Astyanax mexicanus: one gene and its partners. The protein of the gene in region 3 interacts with the protein of the main gene of each other region in a pairwise test. Links are inferred from orthologs where the notes say so. Each region holds a gene or a part of one and is shown on either strand. Other genes may lie near its edges.

Region 1 (5,676 bases), on a different chromosome or scaffold from region 3:
GAACACAAATAGAAGATATAATTTCTAATCTATTGTTCAGATTTTACATTTAGTGTCAGCTCTTAAGTATGAAATAAGAAATAAATAAAATATATATACAAAAAAAAACTTTTTTTCTTGTGAGCAGATATGTTTTCTTGTTATGAACAGGTGAGCTATGAGGAGTCAAAGCTTCAAAACTCCTGTATTAGAGATCACAAAACGTGGGGATGTCCGATAATGCCTGTCTGTAAACACTCACCAAGCTCTTGGAGGACAGAGTTTCGTTTCAGAGCTAAGGCAAGCTCAGCTGCCCCCTGATGGTTGATTTGATTGTTACGCAGGTCTAGCTGAGTGAGGCAACTGTTAGATGCGAGACCCTCACAGAATATAGAAAACCCCTCTTCCCACATCCCGAGAGCATTCCACTCCAAAACAAGCCTGTGAACAAGAAGCAGACGTTATACATACAAACAGCAAAATCAGAAACCTGATGAGTGAGTCTGTCTCTTTACAATTGTTAAGCTGGTACTATAGTTAGAGTATAACTATAGTGCTTTTTAATGTAAAACATGGGCATTCACCTTCGTAACGTCTTATTCCTCACCAACAATTTCCCCAAAGCTTCTGCTCCGGCTCCTCTTAAGTTATTCCCCTAAGGAATTTTACAATTATTAATATTAAAGAATTTGATGATCATTAGCATTTCATCATTAACATTTCAGTGTGCTGTACTTGCAAACATAAAACATATTAAATTCCCTTTTCGCATGCATTAATAAATTAATTTTAAAAAAGCACATTCTATTAAAGGAAATGGCTATTTTAAAGTCCATGACTATGATCTTACCTTAAGATCCAGGACTTTTACTGTGGTATTGGAACACAGCCCACTCAGGAAAAGCTTGGCACCTGTAAACGCAGATCCAGAACAGATGGTACTGATTATATACATCAGAGCAATCTATTTGTCCTTCAAATTGTTTAAGATAATATGCCAATGCCAATGTTAAATAAGTTATAGGGCCATATTTTATATTTTTCCAGTATTTTAATTTTTTTTTATCTACTACAGGTACTTTAATTTATCCCTTAAAATTAAACAAGCATTCATTGAGCATTTAAGACCTATTAGAACAGTATTATAAAATCGCTGTAAAAAAAATTGAACCATAAGGATCCTCTGCATCTACATCTAGCTGATCTTCCTCTGAGACACCATCCGTATATACACTACTGATCAAAAGTTTAGAACTCCGCAATTTTTCCCCTTTATTTTTGACATTTAAGCTTTTTAATCCAGTGTAAAAAAAATTCTAGTAAACTGCCAGGACCTTTAAGAGAAAAAAATGAATGAAAAACTAAAAAAGTATAAAAGTCATATGTTGTTTAAAAAGGAGTGTGTGATTTTTAGCAAACAATTTATTTGTTAACAGCTTACAGATGGTAAATGGCAAAGAAAATTGTCTGTAGTAAAGCAGTGACGGAACAGATGATGTTACTGCACTCTCTACTGCAGCATTTACACACTCACACAGCACATTCACACTTTCATCATCATAATAACTAGAAAAAGACAAAGAAAAGCAGAGAACTCTGTAACTATTGAAAGTAGAAGTCTTTCAGTCTTTAGACAAATTACAGATGAAGCCAGAGAGTGGTGAGTACTGTTTCCTACACCTTCAAAAGATTCTTGGAAACTGGAGAAAACTGCTACAGGAAGACGTCTGGCTGACCCACATGGAAACAGCTTTAGCCTTTAGCTCTTTAGCTTAACATGTCTGGACCGAGTCTCAGTTTCAGCAGTGAAGAGAAGATTAGAGGTCTAAAAGGTAAAGTAATAAGCAGTAATAAGGTCAGTTTAGACTCACCTTCTTCACTAAGCATGCAGTCACTGAGGCCGAGCTCAGTGAACAGCGTGTCCTTCTGCAGCGTCCTTCCCAGCACGGCACAAGACTCCACGGTCAGACTCTGACCACTTAGGTCCAGCCTGGTTCCTCCAGCTGCCGCTCGCGTCCCCTGCAGTTGAGCCAGGACTGACTCCTGGGGCTCCACCCCAGCCTCCTTACAGAGCTGCATGTAGGCCCGCCTGAAGTCCTCCATCAACAGACAAGCTCCCTCACTCACATACAGAGCTGCAAAAAGACAAAAGACAAAAAGAGAATATTGTATTTGAGGGGAAAAAAAAAAAACATCTTCACCTCAGTCTTATTATAATATTGGTGTCTGATCTGAGCTGCATCTCCAGCCAATAGACTGCATGCAGAATTTTCTCCATCTCTAATGTAAATGCAATCATCATGATTGCAGAAGGAGCAAAGGGTCACGTTGAAGATGTTCAAAAAGGATTTAAATTCAAATCAACAACATGCTTCTAGATGCAACTACAAGAGGGGAAGGGGTGCTCAATGCACTGTTATGTTGCAACATGCATTATATTACATTACATTTAAAACCCAAGCATTTATATTTAGTTTATGTGAGTTGTTGTAATTGATTATAATCAAACAAGGCTATTAGTTACTTAGGGTGGATGATATGGCCCTAAAATAATAATAAGATATATTTTAGGATATTTTTTGCAGTTACAATATTCTTGGCAATATGACAAAACAAAAATTTTAAATCCTTATTACTGCAACTAAATACAGTAACGTTACCAGTCAAATGCTTGGACATTTTTTATTTTACAATTTTATTTAGTTTTTAAATGTAATAACAAAATCATGTCAACATAAAAACAAAATTTAACATAACAATAATGTAATGTACCAAAATAAACACCATAATACTAAAGTACAGAACATTTAAGACATGCATATAAACTGCAAACATAGACAGATATACCAAAAAAAAACCTTTCACAGAAAATAATGATATTATTGTGTCACGATATTGTGTGTATAAAACGGTATGAAACGCTTCTATTAGGTACTTAGTTACTTTAGACCAATTAATTAACCCTTAACCTTTTATAAATACATAATAATTGCTTATTTTTGCAATTGTCCGTTCCACCTTAAATGCTTTAGTGTTTCTGAGCCTTTACATTCTGACTTCTGAATCCCCCTAATGTAACTGCTGCAGAATTTAAGGTGGACAGAATCATTCATATAACAAGATAGTGAAGTAAAAGGCAAACTTTAGTTCATCTTATTAAGCCTGTATTACACATGGCTTCATTATTCATTAATAAAATACAAACATGTAGTAAAATAACTCCAATTACACAAAAGTTAGACAGTTAGGGTTAGCTAGTTAAGCTAGCTAGCATTAATTTGTTGTTAGCTAGCTCAGTTAGCTATTGTGCTAGCCAGCGAGCTACAACAGTCTCTAGAACACGCTAAAATAGATTAAAATAAGTCAAATAAATGTATAAATAAGCAGTTCTTACTCTATAAAGCTGAGCGACATCCCTGCGGTTCTAATGTTTTAACAGTTGCCGCTGTTTACAGCTTTGCTGGCTAGCAGTTGACATGTATCCAGGAACTTAGGCAGCTACGGGGCCGCGCTGCATTCTGGGACATGTAGTACAGCCACAAAACAACATAGTAGTAGTCTTTAATTTAGATAAAAACGCTTTTTTTATTATTATTATTTTTTGTTGCATTTTCTGCATTTAACAATACGTGGTGCACATTATGTTACAGATTAGTATAACATAGATTATTAGATTATATATTTGTCAGAATACATAAACACATTAGAGGAACACATTGTAATACTAGCTAACTGTCTCTATTAAACAGAGCCTGTGATATCATGTAAAAAAAAAAGTGAGGTTCTTATTTCCACGCCTTAATAAGTCATGGCCACGCATTATTTTATTTTTAACATGCTGTCACCTTAGGGGCCATTACTTTACAGTAATGGTGAAGCCATGACCACAATAAAAATAGGCCTTTTTATTCATAATGCAGACACAGCAATGAACACAGCCATGATAAATTAAAATAATTAGTACATGCTTTTTGCACGTTTCAAGAAGCACACATACTTTTCCCGTCATTACGATAGCAAAGACACACTGACACGCCCTAAATCAAACTGTGAGGTGCTCGGTTGACGGCTAGGCTACAGATTGCTAAATTGCAGACCTATAATGTCCATTGCAATGGAAAATTGGGTCTGAAAGGGTTAGTAATAACCATTTAATGTATTAATTTTCCATGAGGTAGATTTAAGAGATTTAAAGAGATTTAAGAATCTGCTTATTTAATTTGCCACCAATGTGAACACTTCATATGTTACTGTATGTTTATTAGAAGCTTTTGCTGATTCTGTGGGATTTCTATGTCAGAAATGCTTATATGTACTAATATGTTTATATTATTTCTTGAGGCATGGCTTGTCATATCATTGGTACAATGACCGGGATAACTTGAAATCATTCTTAGTCTATCATTAATATTTTCTTGGTGGAACATTTACTCAAAGCTGACATTCTTCAGAGGTATGTTATCCAGTTTTGCTCAGTTCTGACTGGCTGTCCTACACTAAACCTTATTTATTATTGCTTTCCTGATATATGGGCCCTTCCATGGTTTATCAGCTTGGATGGGATGGGAAAAACACTGAAAAGGAATCTAACAGTGCATTACAGTGATCAATGTGTGTGACTGGTGAACACAGTGTTGGCTCCAGCTGGATCTTTGTTGTGTGAGATTACCTTGGTGATTGATGGATGATTAATCTGGAAAGCTGACCACTGGTTCCTTGTTGTTTGAGCTGCTGCCATTGGGAATGCTCAGCCTGGGGGAGAAACAGAAGAGTAAACGCTCTGAGATCAGGGAGAGAGAGTCGCTGAATAACTAGTGTGTTGGTGCGAAGGAATAACTATGTGTTAAAAAGAGATTTCAGAGATTTTCAGCTTTTGGAAAGCTACAACATCCCTCCTCCAACAGCGAGGTGACCAGAGGAACATCACAGTCAGCCTAATACCAGAGAGGATCCATCTTTAGGGTTTGGTGATATGGATGACCGGGCCAAAGACGACCCATGGAGAGTGTATGAGGAGGAAATCCCCAGCAGAACCATTCGGTAAGAGTCATTAAAGGTCATTAAAAAGGTTTTAAATTCAACCAACAAATCAGAGCTGTGTGTTTATGAAGTATTGTTTTTTTAATTAATTTAAATTAATTAATTAACATTTAATTTATACAGTTTAGTTACTAATTTTAATTTTGACAATGCTGCTTTTATCTTGTTAACTTTCTTCTGGTGAAAAAATGCTGTTGAAAACAAAAACACATCATCCATACATTTTCAGATAAAAAAAATCTGAATAAGATCTGATATACATTTAAATTTATGAACCACACTATCATATTTATAAAAATTCAGGGCCTTGCCTTTAACCATGTCTTGCACTAGGTGGAGCCATAGTGACACAATTACTAGCACTAAATAAAAATAAGGGATTTATTAAGTCCCTGACAGCTACACACTAAAATCTGGGACAAATTAAGAAAAAAATAATCAAGTTTTTCTTCTCATCTGAGCAACTAATTTCTCCCTACTGCAGCCAAGAGTATAAAGCTTTAACTTTCATCTTCTCATTTTCATTTCATTTCTGCTCATGTTGTACATGAAATTGCAAACAACATACAACACCTAGGTGCTTATTTTGAATATTCTGTTATAATATATTTTAAATATTCTGTTCCACCTAGGCACTCAAAGTGTCTAAAAGGTTCA
Region 2 (5,676 bases), on a different chromosome or scaffold from region 3:
AGTAACAACAACATTACATAATAAGTATGCTTAAAAAGTGTTCAGTGTTTAGTATCAATCATTTAATCAATCCATTAGTGTTATTGAGTTGGCATTGAGTTCTGCACAACAGAAATTCTATTGGCCTGTTGTTGCTGAAAGACCCCCTCTGCTGTACCTTTTGGCTTCAGGCCAAGCGTAAAAGTCACAGGTCCAACCTCAGCACCTCAGGTCACCACACAAAAACAGGCACATCCATTAATCAAAAGCAATGACCCAAAGGGAAAGGAAGTCCAATCTCATTTAAGCTGCCTGAGCATTGGAAAAAGGCATCAACAGGTTGCTGAGCAAACAGCTGTACAAGAATGCCCTCATCTGGTAAGCAGGCCAAAGTGCAGCACTCATAATCTTTACAAGAATTGATAAGATTGTGGTATGATTACCATAATGCACTAATAATATAATTAGAAAGCTTTAAACAAAATATTTATTTATATGCATTTATATGTTTTGTGTGGTAATTATTAATTGTTTCAGAAATGTGTGACTGCCCATTCTTTTTAAATATACCCTTGGGTGGTCTTCCCGCCTTCATGGTCAGGGTCATGGTCATGCTGGATCCCGAGCCTACCCAGAGTCACTAGGGTAATAATAAGCACACGGTTGGAATAACCCCAGGACAGGGCACCACCAGTCCATTGCAAGAGTTCTTTGAGTATGGATAAATAAATAAATAAATAAGTCAGTTAGATTAAATAGTAGAGCAAACTATTTGTTTAAAATATTTTGAGTTAAAAGACAACAGATATAAAGCAAATATCACATTATCACATTATTAACAGTAATAGCAGTAGTCATATTAATATACCCCAGAAAACTTGCCCCAAGTGAGGTCTGAATGGGGAGCTCCCTAGGAACAAGAAAAGTTGTTCACAGGTTCTATGGGGTGCCTAAATATGGATGCACATCAGGGTTCAAGAATGGGAGCAGGGGGATTAAACATGGGCCCATATGGGTTAACCAAACAATAAAAAAATAAAATAAATAACAACTCTGGTGGCCTACCAAAAATGATTTTGGGATTTTTTTCTACATTTAATGATACACAAACGAGCAAAATGAGAAGCAACAAAACCTGATAATGGAAAAATATAAAATATATATTTTTTTCTGTCTGTAATGCACCTAAAACTCCATCCATCTATCTTATCGTCTTATATGTTTCTTCCAGGTCAGGGTCACAGTGAGTACAGAGCTTACCTACCCTATACATTGTTTGGGAGTCAGCTGGAGACACAGGGAGAACACATCCCAACTCCTCACAGACATGAATCAGAGCAGGAATTGAACTAGCAACCCTATTACCTCTAGAGTTGTCTGACATACTACTTGTGGTGCTACTCATACTTGTCAAGTCTCTTGTATTGGCCGGGAAACTACCATATTTAACCCTATTTTCCCGTAAATTTACCATATTATATTATAATAAAAAAATTAAAACAGAAAATTCCTGTGTCTCTCCAAACTGCCTCCCAGGCAGCTGGAAGTGCTGACAGCCGAAACAACCCTGGAACAACAAATCAGAGAGATGGATAGATGTAAGGAAAGAGATGGCATTCCTACCAAAAAACACCACACTATGATGATACATACTCATATATACTATGCACATATGTATAATGTCATATATACCTTCTTCTGACTGCGGAAAATACCATTGATCATCACAACAAAAGTATATTAAAATAAAAAAATACTATATATTTGTGTATATAATATAATAATTAATATAATAATAATTACTACATACTATATCATGATACTATGATACTGAACCTCGGTTGGTCTGGTGGGATGGCTCGAAGCGGGCAGCAGGAAAATTCCCTTATATTTAAATCCAAAACTTGACAGGTATGGTGCCACAAAATAAAGAAAAAAACTAAGTTACAACAAAAACAAAAAAAATCTCAAACTATCCTTAAGCAGTAAAATAAACTTGAGACATGATAAAAAAGTGTTCTAAATCAGATCAAATTTTTTTAAAGCAGAACTGTCACTGTGTCTGTTTGGCTGGAGTGTTTTTTTTTTCAGTGCAGTGGGCGGGGCTACGCTGCTGTTTGATTGGCTGGTAAAGGTTGATTCTGATGGACAACACCTCTCAATCAGTGTTGTGTCAATCAAAATGTAAAAAAAAAAAAAAAGAAAGAAAAAACACCAACACAAAAATGATGTCCATTCACTGCAATATACGCAGGGTCAGAAAGGGTTAAACAGCTCTGCTGGCTCTGGAACTACATTTCCCACAATTCTCCAAACCACAACAGACGAGCCCTGCGAAAAAGGCTGTGGATTCAACTCATTCAGACACCGAGAGCGAGAGAGAAAAACACGGGCGTGTTTCCTTAGTGACACTTTAAATGGAGTTAACGTTACGAGCTTAGGCTGCAGCAGACAGGGGAGCTTTTAAAGATGGTGAAAGACCAAGAAGTGGAGCGCATCGCGAAGAAGCTGGACAAAATGGTGCAGAAGGAAAACACGGTGAGTGTGGGTCGGTCCGGCGGCGGAGAGAGGAGCAGGTAGACAGGGACGCTGGACTGGACTGGAGCGTGCTGCACTTTTAGCCAGCTAGGGGTTAGCTAACCTGGCTTACTTATGGACGAAATTTCTGGAAACTTGCGAAAACGTACTTGTGTATAAATAGCTTGGTTAGCTAACCTAGCGTTAGCTAGTTATCGTTTCTGAAAATGTCTTCCACCACTCTCAGTGAGCCACTGTTAGCTTTCCACTCCAGAGTGAATGCCCCGGGGTTAGGGCTTTTACGGTGGACGCTGGAGAGCAGGCAGGAGGCGTGGAGGACCTCAGCACAGCCCCCCATAATTCAACATATCTAACATAACGCTACCTAACGCTTTCTCTTTAGCTAAGTAGAGTAAAGGACATGTTTGGCGGTAAAGTTAACGGAAGAGGTGTTACCGAGGCTTTTACCGCCACTCGGTAAAAAAATTTATCCGGCAAAAAAACATAATAGTGGGTAAATTACCTAGCTCTAATTAATGAATCTTTAGAGCTTTCCCCATTATCTCCGTTTTTTATTATTTATTAGTCTTTTTTTTAAACTAAATAGTTAGTTAGCTAACCTTCTTATGTAATATTGTTTAGTTGAGTAACTATCAAGATTGATACACAGCGCTATTGCCGGTGTTCTGTCGAGTTATGGTAATGTTACCCCTCGATATGTGCTTCTTAACGGCACTGCGCATGCGTCCACCCACATATTTTACTATTTAATGCGTTTGTATTTTATAATAATTCCGTTTTCCTTGGGTGCATTAACGTTTTAAACCCTGCGTCCATTACAATGGACACCATGAATTTTCTAATGTTTTTAAATGTTTTCTTGCACATAACACGAAGTTAATTGAGACCTTTTGTCAATCAAAATAGAGTATGAATGAGCCAATGAAAAAGTTTATAAGCCAATGAAACAATAGCATAGTCCTGCCCACTGCACTGAACAACAACAACAACAAAAAAAACACTAGAGCCAAAAAGGCTAATTAAACTTTTTTTTGGCTTATTTTATGTGATTTAGTTCATTTTAGTGTCTAGGGATGGCTTGTGATGGCTTCCAAGCCAATAGACATAAAGTATTCACCTATTTAATTGGATTTAATGTTAATATAGATTTTATGTTATAATATTAAAGTCTTCCTTTGTGTGCATTACTGACAGAAAACAGCATTATTATAACACAAAAGTTAACACAAAACTGTAAATGGTGATTAAAAAAATTAAAATAATAATACACTATAAGAAAAATACAGTTGTTTTTAATCAGCTAGCTAAGTCTGTCACGTTAACTTTTAACTTACCTGAAAAAAAACAGTTTAGCCTAACCTTTATTTTAAACCCTATATTTTTACCTTTTATAGTGTTATATACATTAGGGTAGCACCGGAATCCGCCCTTTACCGAGTCCCACTTTTACCCTCCGCTCTGTTTGTTAACTAGTTAGTTAACATTGATTAGCTAACCTACATTTGAGGTTCCTGACTTCCTGACTGAACTGAGAGCGGTGAATGTGTTCGTTTAGCAAACCAGCAAACCGTCCATTAATCAGCTCGAGGTCCCGTATGAGAGGACGCCGCTGTCAATTAAACCACTAACTAGCTAAATGGCTAGTTAGTTAGCTTAGCCAAGCTAATTACCAAAACACCGTCACTGCCTCGCCGGTGAATTTTGAACGGACGCGGTTTGAATAACCGACTCTCTCCGTTCCTGTTGTGTTTGTGTGTGTGTGTGTGTGTGTGTGTGTGTGTGTGTGTGTGTGTGTGTGTGTGTGTGTGTGTGTGTGTGTGTGTGTTTTCGTGCTGTTGGAGCTGATGAGCTGGCAAACTGGTCCTTCTCCAATTTTCTCTCCTGTCTGACTGCTGTGGACACACTGTGTAGGGGTGTGCTCTATACTAGTGCATCTAAAAAATTAGAATATCATTAAAAAGTTACTTTATTGCAGTAATTTAGTTCAAAATGAGAAACTCATATTGTATAGATGTATCACAGAGTGATATATTTTAAGTGTTTCTTTCTTTTATTTTTGATTATTTATTATGGTTTATTATGTCTTAATCAGCCAATAAACCCCCCCAAAAAAGTGTCTCAGAAAAATAGAACATTATATAAGACCAATTGGTAGTTTTGGCAGTGTGGGCAGTGTGCCAAGTCCTGCTGGAAAATGAAATCCGCGTCCCCATAAAAATTGTCAGGGGAGAGGGAAGCATGGAAGTGCTGTAATATGACAATATCACTGTGATCAAATATTATTGAGGTCATGTCCATTTATTGTTCGCTAAGTAAATAATGTAATTATCGTTATCTGCATAGACCCTGCTTAAGAAATAAAATGTTTCTGCTCAGTGTATAAAACTGTTATATTTATACTATTGCCAAGGATATTGTTATTGCAAAAACTTTGCTTTCTAAGTTAATTCTTTCTCCCTCTTTTCTTCCTTTACATCCAGGATGGTGCCTTAGACTTGCTGAAGGAACTGAAGAACATGAAAATGTCACTGGAGACCCTGCAGGTAGTTCAGTCCACTTTAACATATTAAATGCAGTCTACTTCATATCACACAACAACTTTTTAGGATGTGGAGAATCACTTCAGGCCTTGACATAAAAATAGGACATTTTTATTGACAAATATGTTTTGGATGCAGCCGCTCGGCCATGAAAACCCATTCTATGAAGCTCTCCATCCACTGTCCTTGAGATAATCTGAAGGCTACATGAAGTTTGGAGGTCTGTTGTGATTGACTGTGCAGAAAGTTAGTGATCTATGCCTCAGGATTTGCTGACCGTCCTCTCTTTTCATTTTACGTTGATGGAGTAAGTTGCTTTTGTTTCCAGTCGCTTCCACTTGTTATAATAGCACTGACAGTTGGCTGTGGAATATAGAATATATATAACATATATAACCATATATAACGTTTTGTTTGGACTATAAGGCGCACTTAAAATCCTTTAAATTTTCCAAAAATCAACTTATAATCAGGTGCGCCATGTATATGATTTTTTTTATTTTTTTTTTTTATTTTAAATTTTTCCCATTTTCTTCCCAATGTACACGGCCAATTACCCAACCCACTCATCAGGACTCCCCCTATCTCTAGTAATGCCCCAACACACCAGGAGGGTGAA
Region 3 (5,676 bases):
TAAACATTCTACATATGACATCCTAATGCAACATAAATACAAATTAATAACCTGTATTTTTTTTGTTAAGTTAACAAGTTAAACGGAACTTAAACCATTTAATCAAAGAATTTGAATGGGTAAAATGTTTGGAACATAGTTGTAGAAGCCAATAATAGTTTTTTTTAATGAGCTATTTTTTTTTTTTTATAAGTGAAGTCAAATGACCAAATACATGCATACACTGTTCTGTGATGCTTTCAGGATGTATAGTATATGTCACTCGGAGACTCCATAAGTCAAAATAAAAATAAAAAAAATACTGCAATGAATTTTACACACCTAGCTAACTTTATTCCTTTACTTAGCATACATTTACACCACAGAAAATGCAAGTGACGTGATAATATAGAAATAACCTTACATGATTAAAATATAATTATAACTTGAAGACCAATTTTAGGTGTAGACAAAATTACAAAAATTAAAAAAGACTAACGTTAATGTTGTGCGCCCTCTTTAGCCACAGATAACAGGCATGCGTGTAGCTAGCAACATGAGGCCATTTAACTTCTCGGTCAACACGGATACAAATGTGTGTATTGTGAAGAAAATATGTATTATACGATGGTATTTAATCTACGCATTAATAAATTAGAGAGATGCCTGGGTCCCGAGGAGCTAACAGTTAGCTAACCTACGTATCCGTGGCTAAACAACGTAAGACATCGAGCTAGCAAGCTAGCTAGCAAACTAACTTACGTACGCTGTTAGCATTAGGTCAACCTGGCTTAAAATACACGTTACAAAAACACGTCAGAAATATCAAATTTTTCATTCCAAAATACAAAAAACAAACTTGTGAAATCTGACATAAAGAGACAAATATTAGTGAAGGAAATAATTTACCACAACTAACGTTAATGTCCGTTTCTCTCTGAAATCCGAGCAAAAATTAACGGTTAGCCTCGTAACCAGATAGCGTTAGCTTAGCTTAGCTAACTACTTTAATACGTAAAAACCAGCCTAAAACCAGCCCAGTCTGATCTATTTGATCAGTAAATGTTTATACGAACCTGTGAAGAAGCGACTGTCTAATAAACAGGTATAAAGGGTTTATCTACCCAGCGAGTAGCTGTATGTAGTTAGATAAGCTAATATTTTGATAAATTAGCGCAGCAGAACTCGTCGACTCGCTCAACTTCTTCCCTCCTGCTCAGAGCTGCGCGCTCCCTGCTGCCCCTGCAGGTTAGGAGACAAACCGAGATCAGAGCTGCGGGAAATTACTTTTAGCTGTTTACCTACCCAAGACTGGACTGTACTGGTCTTACCGATTTTTTTTTTTATCGGATAAAAAATGCTTAGATAATCTCAAAATGACAAGTGCGTGTAATTTATTGTAAAGTTGTAATGCCCGCAGCGCATCCGGTTGTGACATTTACCGGAGGTTTATGGAGAGCCTGCCCACTTCCTATCCGGTTATATAGAGGTATAGAGGGAGCCCGCGAGGGAGTCCTCAATGAATGGAGGTGCATAGAGCTAAACAGCTAAAAAACTAATACATATTAATAACTAGCCACCTCAGTCAGGGACAGTGTAATGTTCCTCAGCTTGATATTTTACCTGTTTAAGGCAAAATTTACTAAAATTAAATTTTAAGTTTTTCATTTTTAAGTTTTTCACAGCCTGAACTACAGTAAATACAAATATACAGGAAACATGTTTTATTCTGAAGGTTGATGAAAAATCTACTTTTGTCACAAAATGAAAAAATAAAAATAAAATAAAATCAAGTAAATTTATTTTATATTTTGTTCCTGGAATTAAAATTATTAGGGGAAAGTCAAGTTTTGCACAAAAAAACACTTACAAAATACATTTCCGACTGTTACATTTAAATAACTGTATGCACTCATCAACTTTACCAGCCTTAAGCTTCTATACGTTACCTCTATATTTGCTCTAATGTTTATTCGGATTCTTTTTATACTGGTACTGTCATTCCCTGTGTAATCTGTCATCATACCTAACTGGTACACTCTCACGCTTAAATTGCACTATTGTCTTGTTTCTCTTGTCTCACGTATGTCTATATTTGAGACACTATGAACAATAAAACTACTTAACTTGACTAAATTATTAGGAGAACCCATTCATTCTGCACTCACTCGTGAGCGCCTTCTAGTGTCTCACTAACCTGTAAAATATTGCTGAGTGTGTAATCTCCTCTGTACAGATTCTCTGCGTCCTCATCACATGACCGTTTAACACAACAACAAAGATGTCTGCTCTGTACAGCCCGGCGCACTAACAGCTCAAACCTTCCCAACCTCAAACCGCTGCATTTAAACCGGTAACTGAGACTACTGGAGCTGTACTGTGAGGTCTGTAAGAGACTGAGGCGCTTGGGTTGAGCTCGGAAGTCAGACAGGTAGGTTAACACCTGTGATCATCACCTCACATTTACAGAACTGCAGTAGCAGACCTGCAGCTGCGCTGCTTATTTTATCTTCTGCTGAACTAATTTAAACGTGCTGCTGTTTATGTTGTAAATATTTTTATACAGTTAGCTGCGTTACTTAGATTTAAGATTATTTTACGATTATATTTAAAGTTAATTATTGTCTGGTACTGCAAATGCGTTTACGCGTAAAGCAAACCTGCTGTGCGAATAAATTGGTGTATTTCTTGCAGTCTTCCACAGTTAGGCTGAATATTTCAGTAGTAATGGTTGCCTACTAACTTACATACTCTAACCTAAATCTATTGTGCAGTATATTCTGTTAAGATCATTAACAAATAGAGCATTTATAATATTTATCGGTATTTCTGCAGTTATTTAGCTATTTTTTTGCAAATTCTATGCTTAAAAGCACATTCCTGTTATTTTTATTCCTGTTACTCAAAACATAAAAAGTAACAGGAATGAATGCCATTAACATTATTTTTTTTTGTCATGCAGTCTAGCATTTCTTTAAAGTAGTTAGTAATTAGTAATTAGTAAACATGCTTTTTAAATGTTTTGTAACCACAAGTTTTTGAATCATCTTTTGCTTAGAAAAAAATAAGTAAAGCTGCCTGAAATTGATCAGTACAGCTTTTAAATAGTTAAATACGTGTGTTTTTAGATTCAGAGTTGAAAAAATATTAGATTATGAAGATTATAACGATAGTTCTGAAGAGTTACAACAAGCACATGGCACCAATTCAGTGTAATACCAATATACAGTGCTGTGGAAGTATTTATTTCTACTTTCATTTTTCAGGTTATCAAAGACATTTTAATATCCAACAATGATAAACATAGATTCAACACATCACAACTCAAACAGTGTACTTGTCATGTAACATGAGACTTCAATACAATCTTTGTACACTGTCAACCTTTTTCATGTTTAATGTGAAAATCATATCAGTGCTGTTAGTTGACTATGATATGTGTGAAATGATTGTTAACTCAGACGTTCATTTCTTTTTATAGCTACAATATGGATCCGACAGCATCTGGGATTTTCTGCAACAGAATGCTAAGCATGGTCAATTCTGAGGATGTGAACGCCATCATTCAAGCCCAGAGACACATGTACAGTTTTTGCTGTCTAATAATCAAAACAGTCACATGCATTTACTTCTGTAAAATTGCTTAGGCTAAAATTACTTGAGAAAAATATTATCTATATTTTTGCTTGAGAAAAGTACAGAAATTCTTGCTTGTGAATGCTGGATGAATGTTTGTTTAAATACTGTATTTACAATAGCATTTCTACTTTTACTCAATACAGAAGTACTGACTTGTCCACCCTTAGTCAAAAATAATGTATAATTTATAATAATCACAATTTAATGTTATTAATCTCTCCTTAGGCTGGACCGCTTTGAGAAGACCAATGAGATGCTCATTAACTTTAATGGTTTGTCCAATGTGCGACTTCAACAGATGAACGACCACTTTCTGCTCCACACTCGCACTTTAATTGAGATGAAGAAGGATTTGGACAGTATTTTCCGGCGAATAAGGTGCTTTAGGAGTTCTTTAAGTGTTAGTCTGTTTGGTTGGTGTAAACATTGAGTTTTGTTAAAAAAAAAAAAAAAAAAAAAACATTGTACACTGGGTTTCCAGGAAGGAATCAAACCTAGTCTTGCAGTGTTTTTTCTTTCAATGAGAAAGTTTAATTAAAAATGCTATGTAGTCCATTACTAGACATAATCTGGAAATTGTAGTCACATACATAGAAAGACAGGGTACAACTAGCAGTGAGGTTTTTTGTTGACTGTCCTGTATAAAATGTAAAAAGTCAAGTGAAAAAGTAAAGATAACAAGTAAGTAAGAAAGTAATAAATAACTAAGGGTGATTTCCTACTTTATTTGGATCAGAATATTTGACTTTTCCGATTGGGCCCCAATCAAAGTAGCAGGTGTGAAAGGGGCCGCAAACAGTCCAGAACAAATGTACGGAAAGGGGAGTCGGATACTGATAGAGGGATAGAATTCTCTGCAACATCTGGCTAAGCAACCTATTACTTTAATTCTGCCCAATAACTGCAGTGTAAAATCAAAAAGAACCAATACAAATGTTCAATACACAATGTAACAAACACATGAACACAGACATTGGTCCGGATGTTCTAGTGTGCAAACATCCTAAGAAGAATCTCCATAGAAAGAAGTTCTTATAGAAGCATTGGAGCTGCTAAAAATGATCAATACTTAACCAAATATTGTCTAGAAGTGTAAAACCCACCAGTAATAGGCTGTGGAACAATTTAATTTGGTTTCAGAAGAGTTCTTTAGATTTATGTTTTATCTTATACATTTGGGTGGGTAGAATTTATCATCCAAAATCTCTAATGCTCATCTGACTGAATGCGGTCAAATTCTCAAAGCAATGTAGTGTAGCATCTAGTGTAAAGCCTCCCCACAAAAAGTATAGTGTTTTTAAAGTAAAGGGAGATAGATTCTTGGTTTTAGAAGTGGTAGTGTATGAGTGGAATAATTCAGTATACCTTGTTGTATTTTTGTGCAGGACATTGAAGAGTAAGATTTCAAAGCAGTATCCTGAGGCTTTCAGCAGTGAGTATCACCTAGACTTTCTTAATTATGTTATTTGTATTGCCAACACATTTCATTCTCTCACATAATACACCTTTTTCCAGAGCATTACCTTTGCTCATGTAATTTTATCAGTGATTTCTCAACAGACATCCACGAGTCTCCTAGCCTAGAGGATGATGATGATGAGTTTGACCCAATCCCTCCCAGTGTGGCCACCACTGCCACCACAACAGAGCAGAGCACCGAGTCATGTGACACCAGCCCTGACGTAATTTCACCCACCATCAGCCGCTGCTCAGAGGAGCTCTCCCAGGAGAATCCCGACACGCCTACGTCTAACAGCCCAGAGAGGGCTGTACTGCTGGACGAGGGTCCAGATTCAGCTGAGATCTAGAGTCTTTAGATGCTTCTGCATATTTGAGTTACTTTAGAACCTCATATTAACAGCAGGATTGCATTAAATAGCCTGCATGGGAGGAAGATGCTACACCATTTGCCATTCATGCATTTAGACAGTTATTCAGTTTAGGTTTGGAGATAAATGAGATGTCTGAGTCACTTGTATTGTTCATATTTTATGTCACAGTGGGCATTATTGTTACATATTGTATGTATTTTACCCTCAGAATGAGAGCTTATTTATT

Evidence for each region.
Region 1: the proteins of kxd1 (region 3) and lrrc45 interact in binary tests that used the Homo sapiens proteins (3 or more experiments, as listed by UniProt). The two-hybrid records come from large-scale screens. The link is inferred for Astyanax mexicanus from reciprocal best matches to the Homo sapiens genes KXD1 and LRRC45.
Region 2: the proteins of kxd1 (region 3) and tcea2 interact in binary tests that used the Homo sapiens proteins (3 or more experiments, as listed by UniProt). The two-hybrid records come from large-scale screens. The link is inferred for Astyanax mexicanus from reciprocal best matches to the Homo sapiens genes KXD1 and TCEA2.

The regions. Positions count from the first base shown.
Region 1 is NC_064422.1:9,241,220-9,246,895, reverse strand, and holds the start of lrrc45 (leucine-rich repeat-containing protein 45), read right to left. Parts: upstream 3,486-5,676; 5' UTR 3,374-3,485; intron 2,115-3,373; 5' UTR 2,083-2,114; coding exon 1,851-2,082; intron 892-1,850; coding exon 830-891; intron 635-829; coding exon 564-634; intron 421-563; coding exon 242-420; intron 1-241. Other genes in the region: WD repeat-containing protein on Y chromosome, read left to right, coding at 4,952-5,019. UniProt on the Homo sapiens protein: Component of the proteinaceous fiber-like linker between two centrioles, required for centrosome cohesion.
Region 2 is NC_064420.1:30,249,379-30,255,054, forward strand, and holds the start of tcea2 (transcription elongation factor A protein 2), read left to right. Parts: upstream 1-2,278; 5' UTR 2,279-2,448; coding exon 2,449-2,517; intron 2,518-4,997; coding exon 4,998-5,060; intron 5,061-5,676. UniProt on the Homo sapiens protein: Necessary for efficient RNA polymerase II transcription elongation past template-encoded arresting sites.
Region 3 is NC_064417.1:35,895,178-35,900,853, reverse strand, and holds the start of kxd1 (kxDL motif-containing protein 1), read left to right. Parts: upstream 1-2,220; 5' UTR 2,221-2,410; intron 2,411-3,460; 5' UTR 3,461-3,467; coding exon 3,468-3,562; intron 3,563-3,843; coding exon 3,844-3,996; intron 3,997-5,003; coding exon 5,004-5,050; intron 5,051-5,178; coding exon 5,179-5,426; 3' UTR 5,427-5,676.